Daphnia pulex: one gene and its partner. The protein of the gene in region 1 purifies or fractionates together with the protein of each later gene. This does not show direct contact. Links are inferred from orthologs where the notes say so. Each region holds a gene or a part of one and is shown on either strand. Other genes may lie near its edges. The genes, in order: serine/threonine-protein kinase Warts-like and LIM domain-containing protein jub-like.

The links.
Region 2: the proteins of serine/threonine-protein kinase Warts-like (region 1) and LIM domain-containing protein jub-like purify together in Drosophila melanogaster (affinity purification with western blotting; 4 studies listed by BioGRID). This does not show direct contact. The link is inferred for Daphnia pulex from reciprocal best matches to the Drosophila melanogaster genes wts and jub.

The regions. Positions count from the first base shown.
Region 1 is NC_060026.1:6,952,991-6,957,604, forward strand, and holds part of serine/threonine-protein kinase Warts-like, read left to right. Parts: coding exon 1-617; intron 618-694; coding exon 695-1,000; intron 1,001-1,065; coding exon 1,066-1,185; intron 1,186-1,246; coding exon 1,247-1,510; intron 1,511-1,581; coding exon 1,582-1,767; intron 1,768-1,833; coding exon 1,834-2,050; intron 2,051-2,111; coding exon 2,112-2,224; intron 2,225-2,296; coding exon 2,297-2,377; intron 2,378-2,442; coding exon 2,443-2,540; intron 2,541-2,606; coding exon 2,607-2,802; intron 2,803-2,876; coding exon 2,877-3,200; intron 3,201-3,266; coding exon 3,267-3,689; 3' UTR 3,690-4,614. UniProt on the Drosophila melanogaster protein: Negative regulator of Yorkie (Yki) in the Hippo/SWH (Sav/Wts/Hpo) signaling pathway that plays a pivotal role in organ size control and tumor suppression by restricting proliferation and promoting apoptosis.
Region 2 is NC_060021.1:11,750,427-11,754,967, reverse strand, and holds LIM domain-containing protein jub-like, read left to right. Parts: upstream 1-1,487; 5' UTR 1,488-1,688; coding exon 1,689-2,522; intron 2,523-2,591; coding exon 2,592-2,682; intron 2,683-2,764; exon of another isoform or gene 2,765-2,765; coding exon 2,766-2,935; exon of another isoform or gene 2,936-3,000; coding exon 3,001-3,063; exon of another isoform or gene 3,064-3,129; coding exon 3,130-3,260; exon of another isoform or gene 3,261-3,491; coding exon 3,492-3,543; exon of another isoform or gene 3,544-3,637; coding exon 3,638-3,706; exon of another isoform or gene 3,707-3,771; coding exon 3,772-3,870; 3' UTR 3,871-4,153; downstream 4,154-4,541. Other genes in the region: calcium-transporting ATPase type 2C member 1-like, read left to right, coding at 1-1,269; general transcription factor IIH subunit 2-like, read right to left, coding at 4,210-4,335, 4,399-4,541. UniProt on the Drosophila melanogaster protein: Regulates organ size by inhibiting apoptosis and promoting cell proliferation by influencing the expression of G1/S-specific cyclin-E (CycE) and apoptosis 1 inhibitor (th). Negatively regulates the Hippo signaling pathway.

The DNA of each region.
Region 1 (4,614 bases):
ATTCGTCAAGAAATGCCTACCCGTCGTCGTCAGATCCGCCACCTCCACCACCGCCGCCTCGAGGTGCCACTCCGCCACCTCCTCCTTTGCCCCCACCTCCATCGGCTGCATCTAAATCAACAAACAGCCAACATTATCCTAGCAACTTTCAACAGATGCTCAAACGAATGTCACCCGTGCCTAATGCACCACCTATTCCGGGACCCCGTGGGACCAGTCCGGCTCCAGCTCTTCCGCCCGGTCGGCTTCCGCCCCTCGTCGTTCAAAATGGACCCCAAGCACAAGCTCAGCTGACTCAGCAGATGCAAGCTTTAAACATGTACCAACAGCAACAACAATCCAGCAATGGCAGCAGCCCATTGCCACCGTCTTCTGCTCCACCCCCTCCGTATCCCACCGGATCAGCTTCTAAATTAGTGGCTCCTCCTCCGCCTTATCGAGGACCGGATAGCGGATTATCTAACCGACAAAGCCCGACGCTTCCCAGCCCAACTGGCAAAAGTCCGGCTCCCTTCCCACCACCGACCTCGTCGTCGTCAGTTCAAGCCGGGGGGAGATGTCCACCCAACCAAGCCTGGCCACCCCGTCAACCACCCATCACTGTCAAAAGCATGCAGGTATAAATCAGCTCAAATGACACTAATCAATACCGATTTTTTAAATTATTTTATTTTACTGTTTCATCAATCATCAGGTTCAGAAACCGATACTGCAAACAGCTGTAGCGCCGTCAGGTCCTCCTCAATCATCAAGTTCACCTCCACCACCGCCTATCCCGGTCCGTTCAAATCCGGCCGTTTCAGCCTCGCCTCCGCCGCCTCCGCCTCCTTATTCCTCTTCCGGCTATGCATCCAGTAGCTGTCCTTCACCATCATCATACGCTCCTATGGCCTCTCCAAGTCCGCTATCTTTTGCCAGCACGCCGTCTCCAATCCCTAGCAGTCCGGCGCCGGTCAGCGTCCCAACGACTGATCCACCAAGTTATGCATCGACCATGCAGGTATGATATAATAACTCTCCATTCCCTACCGAACCCGTTTGAACTCTATTCGATTTCCTCTCCAGGCCTTGGCTGCTCAAAGACAGCATGGGACAACCCCCACTAACGCCACGAATGTCCTTGCCGTCAATGGATATAATTTATCCGCAACTCCTCCGCCGCCCCCACCTTATCCTTCCTCTATGGTATTATTGCTTGAATCGATCGACTGCCTTATGCAAAAACTTAGCAATGCTCTCATCATAGGCAAATGGTGGAACTGGACTTGCTCAGCAGGTAGAATCACAGGGTTCACCTCACGCTCAGTTACCTCCAAAACCGGGGCAGCGCCGGTTTTCACCATTGACTCTTGAGACTCCATCTTCGCGCTCTGAGAGTCCAATGTCTTCAGCAGCATCGCAGTGTGATTCGGGACGCCATGGCGGTCCGAGCCAATCACCAGTGAGTTTTATTTCTTCATCTGCACCTTCGGAGGGAACGCAAGATTCGGGACTTGGAATGAGCACTAAGGTATGTTCAGTTTGAAAGACATATCTATGTTTTCTTGAATCATGACACTAATTTATTTTACTTTTCTTTAGAACGATTTGAATGGCCATAGTGCACCGTCCAGTGCCAATGGGGAGGATGGTAAAGATGACATGCCACCTCCTCCGCCTCCCCCTTACAAGTTGACGCATCAGTCACCCATCCCGGAACGTAAACATATCTCACGAGAAAGGGAAGAAGAAAGGCGAGAATCTAGCGTACGCAACTATTCACCCCAGGTATGACAAGAATGCTCAGATCGGTGTAGATTTGCAATCGTCTTATCTCTTTATCGCGATATCCAGGCCTTTAAATTCTTCATGGAACAGCACGTTGAGAATCTTCTCAAGTCGCATCAACAGCGAATGGAACGTCGCATGCAATTGGAAACTGAGATGAAAAAGATTGGTTTGTCTGAGGAGGCTCAATGTCAGATGAGGCGGATGCTATCACAAAAGGAATCTAATTACATCCGTTTGAAGCGAGCCAAGATGAACAAAGCCATGTTTTTGAAAATCAAAGGTGAATATTATAGATTTGTCTAATCTTGAACCTTTAAAAGAAATATGTATTTTCTTTTTAGCAATTGGAGTGGGAGCATTTGGTGAAGTGGCTTTAGTACGTAAGATTGACACCAATAATCATCTCTACGCTATGAAGACGTTAAGGAAAACAGATGTTCTTAAGCGCAATCAGGTAAATTTGATTTTACATATTTCACAAAAATAGATTTTTTTTAATCACTTACTTACATACTTTTTCGTTAAGGTGGCTCACGTCAAAGCCGAACGAGACATTTTGGCTGAAGCCGATAATGAATGGGTCGTCAAGCTCTACTACTCGTTTCAGGTATAACTTTATTAAACTTTTTCTTAGTGCGCTCAATCTAAAATAGGTTTTTTTCTGCACTTTAGGACAAGGATAATTTGTATTTTGTGATGGATTACATCCCTGGTGGCGATTTGATGTCACTTCTAATCAAACTCGGGATCTTTGAAGAACCTCTTGCAAGGTTAGCAATCAGTAGTTATTATTCGTTCAATATACGTAATTACTGAATGTTTCATTTGTCATGTAGGTTTTATATAGCTGAATTAGTATGCGCTGTGGAAAGCGTACATAAAATGGGTTTTATTCACCGTGATATCAAGCCAGACAACATTCTTATTGATCGTGACGGTCATATTAAATTGACTGACTTTGGGCTTTGTACTGGTTTCCGCTGGACGCACAATTCAAAATACTATCAACGCAACGGCGATCATTCAAGACAAGTGCGTGCTACTACAAATTAAAATAGCTAAATATTTAATAGCGATATTGACATATTTCTTGTTAATCATGTTAGGATTCTTTTGATCCGGGAGAAGATTGGACCAATGAGTGCCGTTGTAATAATGCTGTCGGAGGTAATTGCAACTCTCTTGGCACAACGCACATTACAGGTCATCCGCCTGTACTGAAAACGTTGGAAAGACGCCGACGTCGCGAACACCAACGCTGCTTGGCACACTCGCTGGTTGGAACGCCAAACTATATTGCACCGGAAGTGCTCCTACGTACAGGCTATACCCAGCTCTGCGACTGGTGGAGCGTTGGTGTCATATTGTATGAGATGTTGGTTGGGCAGCCACCTTTTATGGCTAATACTCCCGCTGAAACTCAGTACAAGGTACTGTTTTCCTTATTCGCAACCAATGTGTGTTCAAGTGTTTAATGTTTTTACTTTTCCTTGTAGGTTATCAACTGGTCGACTACGTTGCAGATCCCTAATTACGCCAACTTGTCACCGGAAGCTGCAGATTTGATTGTTCGTCTTTGTACGTCTGCCGACCAACGATCCGGTAGGGGTGGTGCCGGTGAACTGAAGACGCATCCTTTCTTCAACGGTGTTGACTTTGAGGGCGGCCTTCGCAGCAAAACAGCTCCCTATATCCCGAAAATTCGTTTTGCTACTGACACGTCCAATTTTGATCCGATCGTGCCGGACAAATTGCGGAACAGTGCGGATGAAGATAAGATGGACAACACGCTAGATAACGGAAAACACCCGGTCCACGCATTCTTTGAATTTACTTTCAGACGATTTTTTGACGATGGCGGTCACCCTCGAATGAATCCTGATGATAATGAAGCCAATCACGGGCCCGTCTATGTCTAATTAACGAGTGTATACGTTTGTGTGATCGATTCACGCTCCATTATCCTCACTGAAAAAACCTTATCGTGAGGTTCCAACCAACCAAACCAAAACAAAGCTTTTTTTTCCCTTCTACGTTTTTAAAAGGCACACGCTTCAAATTGTTAAAAAAATGAAGGCAGCAAAATTCCATTCGGTTTCGACGTAGCAACAGCTTCTGATGCTGTATTAACCGACTGTTCCACAACTAGGAACTGAATCTCGCGATGTTGCTGCCGTCTCCCCTAGATCACAGTGTCCAAAGAATACTCTGCCCCACCGTTTTTGAACCGCAAATCAAATTGCTAAATCCCCCTCCCTTTTATATATATGTATCTTTCGAAATATTTCGAGTTGGTGGGTGATGGGTTGAGGAATTGACTTTTTTTGGCTGCCTTACGAATCAGTGTTTTAATTATTCTTGTATGCCAGTGTAGGACAGTAATTTTTTTTTCTAAGAACAACCTTTTTCTTATTGGGAAGGTTTCAGATTTTGGGTACGTCCATAAATTGTCATGACGTTATATTTGTTGTCAAATTTTCCTTCTGATTAATCCTTCATTATGTATCCTCCTCCCCCCATTTAGGACCCCGTTACAGACTTATCAATCTTCTTTACATTGTAAAGAGCTGCCGTTTAGAAGTTTGCGCACAGGGCCTTCGGCCAAGCGTGACGAATGTGTATTTTCGATTCCGTGTTGTATCTGAAGCCATCCGTTACGGCTACTAAACCAACTGCGGAATTCGTGCCTTTTTTGCGTGAGCCTGTCGAACGGCCCGTGCCTTGTAATCTGTTGTATATTGTATGCTATTGTGTAATTACAGTGATCCATTTAACGGATGTTTGGTGGAACAGTTTGTGTGTAAGTGCGTGTAAATTAAATCTGTAAGAGAAATAAAGTGTGTT
Region 2 (4,541 bases), on another chromosome or scaffold:
TTGCCGATGAACATGGATCACCAACAAAGGGTGTTGGGTGAAGCCAGGCAACTGGCGACGCAGGGACTTCGGGTGATTGGAATGGCACGCGGAGATTCAATGGAAGCGATGGAGTTTCTCGGCATGGTCGGCCTGCACGACCCACCTCGACCGCAGGTGCGACAGGCCGTCGACATCTTCCACGGCACCGGAGTTCAAGTGGTCATGGTGACTGGCGACGCCATGGAAACGGCCGTATCCATCGCAGAACTGTTGGGGATTTACCGGCCCAACAGTACAGTCGTTTCTGGAGAGCAACTGGACGCTATGGCCGACGATGAACTAAAGGACCGCGTGATGGAGGTGTCCGTCTTTTATCGAGTGACGCCCCGTCAGAAGCTGCGCATCGTGCAAGCTTTCCAGTCTGTGGGTGCCGTGGTGGCCATGACTGGCGATGGAGTCAACGACTGTGTTGCTCTCAAAGCTGCCCATATCGGCATAGCAATGGGCAAGAACGGCACGGATGTTTCCAAAGAAGCGGCCGACATGATCTTGGTTGACGACGACTTTTACACCATCATGGCAGCTGTCGAAGAAGGTAAAGGCATCTTTTACAACATCCGCAACTTTATCCGCTTCCAGTTGAGTACGAGTATTGCTGCGCTGTCGCTCATCACCATTACAACCCTGGCTGGACTACCGAACCCGCTCAACGCCATGCAAATTCTTTGGATCAATATTTTAATGGACGGACCCCCAGCTCAAAGTCTGGGCGTTGAGCCCGTAGACAAAGATGTCATCCGGCAACCTCCACGCAGCAGCAAGCAATCAATGATTGATCGATCTCTCATCGCCAATGTACTACTTTCGGCAGCTATAATCGTCCTGGGAACTCTGTTCGTGTTCCAACGCGAGTTGCAGGATAACAAGTTAACACCTCGTGACACGACAATGACATTCACTTGCTTTGTCTTGTTCGACCTGTTCAACGCCCTTAGCTGTCGCTCGCAGGACAAATCTGTCCTGGAAATTGGACTTGGGACGAACCGGCTCTTCATTGCCGCCGTGCTCCTGTCACTCTGCGGCCAACTGCTCGTCATCTTTTTCCCACCACTCCAGTGGGTTTTCCAGACGGAAGCACTCCATTTTCAGGATATGGCCTTCCTGACGGCTATCACTTCTAGTGTCTTAATTGTATCCGAACTGAAAAAGTGGATCCAGCGACACCCGCCTTTTCGACTCTTCTCTCCGGCTGTTAACAGAGGGCGAAGTCGTTCTGATTTGATCTAACCAAAATTCTATTTCATTCAATCGTACAACATCTACTATTCTTCAACTGTCTGTCAATCTCTTGTTTTTTATTCAATTTCTTTTTCATTCATTATTGTTACTATAAAGGTATTCGTTTGACGAGTCAATAGATTGCCAAGAGAACAGAAGGGGCTTTTCGCATATTATTTCATAAAATAATGCCCAGCTTTCCCTTTCCACCCCGCCCCTCTCCATTTACCCTTAGGCAGAGACTCCAGCAGACACTCGACTGTGTACACACACACACAGCCAGTTCATTCGACACGCAATCTGTTATCACGTTTGTGTTGTGTTTTCGTAGGCGGGAATGAGTACCATTCTCTTTCTGTGACGTTGATTAGGTTCGGATATCCTTGAGACGTATTTGGCAGAGTACAAGTATTTCCATCCCTCTGATCATGGACCAGGAATTAGGCAAGAAAATGTCGGCTTTGCGACTAGCCGAAGCCAACAGAACGAGCAACATCACTCGACCTACTACTGGATTTCAGTATCCAGCTACTAGTGGCCAATTACCACCGTACAAGTATCCTAATTCAGCTGCTACTCAAATGAAATATGAACCTCAGTATGGATCTTCATCATCGGAAGGAATTTATGCCAACCTGGAGGAGCTCACTGGAAGTCCTGTCAGAGGCAGGTATGAAGATGCATTTATCCCACCTCCAGAACAATTTTCCCAAAGACTTGTTCAGATATCCAAGATATCACACGTCCCCACGCAATCCAAAGTGAGTTTGGAAGAAGCCATGCGCTACACACCACCAAACTTGGTGACTTCTGCTGACGAAGCACCTGTTTATGAGAATCTTCAATTCTACACTTCACCAAAGAAATCGTTTTCAAGTATTTCATCAGCTAGTAACATGTGTGTGCCAACCTATCAGCCAGTTTCCTCCAACCTTGCCGCATTGAAAACTGATGCCCAGTTGGCCACACAACAGCCCTTTGAGCCGAGTCAGTTTCCCCCACCTTCTACATCGATGAAATGCAAATCTTTCACACAAGCATATCCAGCACCACAAATCATCAAGCCATCTCCTCAAAGGTTTTCCCAACCTACTCCTACCTATCAACAAACTCAAAACGCTACAAGCACTACTACAACTGGATATGAAAAGTCACCTCAGCGATTCATCAAACCAGGAATGACAACTGATTCAAGCATTCAACAGATGAGTCCAGCTGGTTCCTCCCCTAAAATGCCCTTTGCAACTCTTCCTTCCAAAAAGGTTTGTACCTTCTTAGTATTTTGTTTGTGTTTGTTTAATAATTTTTGTTTTTAATTTCTTTAATTTCAGGAAACTTCTGATGCTGAGAAAAAATTTGAATCTTTCATGAAAGAAATAGAAGAAGAAATGGAGAATCAAGAACAAGATGGGGAGTTTTTTGGTAATGAATACATTTTATTTAGCAAAAATTTCACTTCCTAAAGGTTCTTTGTTGTTTTGGAACAATCGCGCACCAATAAATAGGTGTTTGTCATACTTGTGGCGAAAAAATTACTGGGGCGGCCGAAGCCTGCCAGGCAATGGGAAATCTCTATCACACTTGCTGCTTCGTATGCTGTTCCTGTGGTCGGGCCCTTCGGGGAAAAGCTTTCTATAATGTTCATGGAAAGGTTTACTGCGAGGAGGATTATTTGGTGTGTATCATTTTTATAGGTTAACTGGGCAACTTTTTGCTTATAAATCCTTTCTATTTTCACAGTACTCTGGCTTTCAACAAACTGCTGAGAAATGTGGACTGTGTGGACATTTAATAATGGAAACTGTAAGAGCTTTATTTTCTGAACAAATCCCGTTTCAATTATAATCATTAAAAAAATATGTTGTACAGATTTTACAAGCTATGGGAAAATCTTATCATCCTGGATGCTTCCGTTGCTGCGTTTGCAACGAATGCTTGGACGGGGTTCCATTCACTATCGACGTTGATCATAAAATCTACTGTGTGACCGACTACCACAGGTAAAATAAGTATTCCATCTCTTTTTTGCACCTAGATCTGTTGTACCACATTACCTGCACCACTCCGTTGCGTGTTTCTTTGGTACATGGTTTTTATTTTGAGTCAAAACTCTTACGTGCTGGGCCATTTTTTGCCTGCCTGATTGGAGGAATATTTACTTCCTAAGAGCCTGCTTAATTCTCTCTTTTTTGAACACTTTTCTTGTATCATCGTTGTCTTGCTGGGTGAAGGATGTTTGCACCGAGATGCGCAGCTTGCGATGAAATTATCACGCCTGCTCAGGTGAGAGATCTATTTGGTTCCAGGGCCCTTGACAAATTTGAATTTTGCTCATAAAAGAAAGGGATACGACATTCTTTTTTCTATGCACTTATAGGGTAGCAAAGAGACGGTACGCGTTGTGTCTATGAACAAGGATTTTCACGTTGATTGCTATGTTTGCGAGGTTTGACATTCAACAAATAAGGTCTTCTTTTCAACGCAATTTTTAAATGTTTCTTTTGCTATTAGAGTTGTGGATTACAGTTAACGGATGAGCCAGAGCGGCGATGTTATCCTTTGTACGGCCGCCTATTTTGTCGCAGCTGTCGACTTATGCAAGACACTTGAAAATTATGCAGCACACGAATACGCCAAAACCAAAATGTTTTTTTTTTACTCTTCGGTTTTCTTTCCTATTATTACGTGCGATATAAGCTTTTACATTTTGACGAAAACTTTTTAGGTTTAATTTTCAAAAACTATCCTACAAGACGTTATTTGACTTTTTTTTTGTGTGTACCTTATTCAAACTAACGTGACTAATGTCCCTAATAGATTGGCTCTGTTTTCATTGCAAATGTACACTGCACAAATACTCGGATTACACCATTAAATTTTTAGTTAATACCAACCGAACGTTATGTACATTTGTGGAGTTCAACTTCTGAATGAATGAAACAATTTTATTCAGTTAGTTTTCATTTGAGCTGTGATTGGATCACTAGCACATCCAGGGCATGTGTGCAATGTTTCTCGTATGAATAGGTCGCAGTCAAGACATACAATCTGTTTGCAGTTTTCACACTCGTAAACCTTAAAAAAATAAATAAATAACAGATGTAAGAAAATCGTCGAAGAACCAATAATCATTCTTACATTGGGATCCAATTCACCAAAAGGCTTGGCGCACGCAAAGCAATGCGTCATCTCGGGAACTTCTGTTCGTTCTATAAATGGTTTGATGGGAAAGAGATGGTGATAAGAACGGGCAAGATGAGGGGCAGAAACCAGAGTCAATC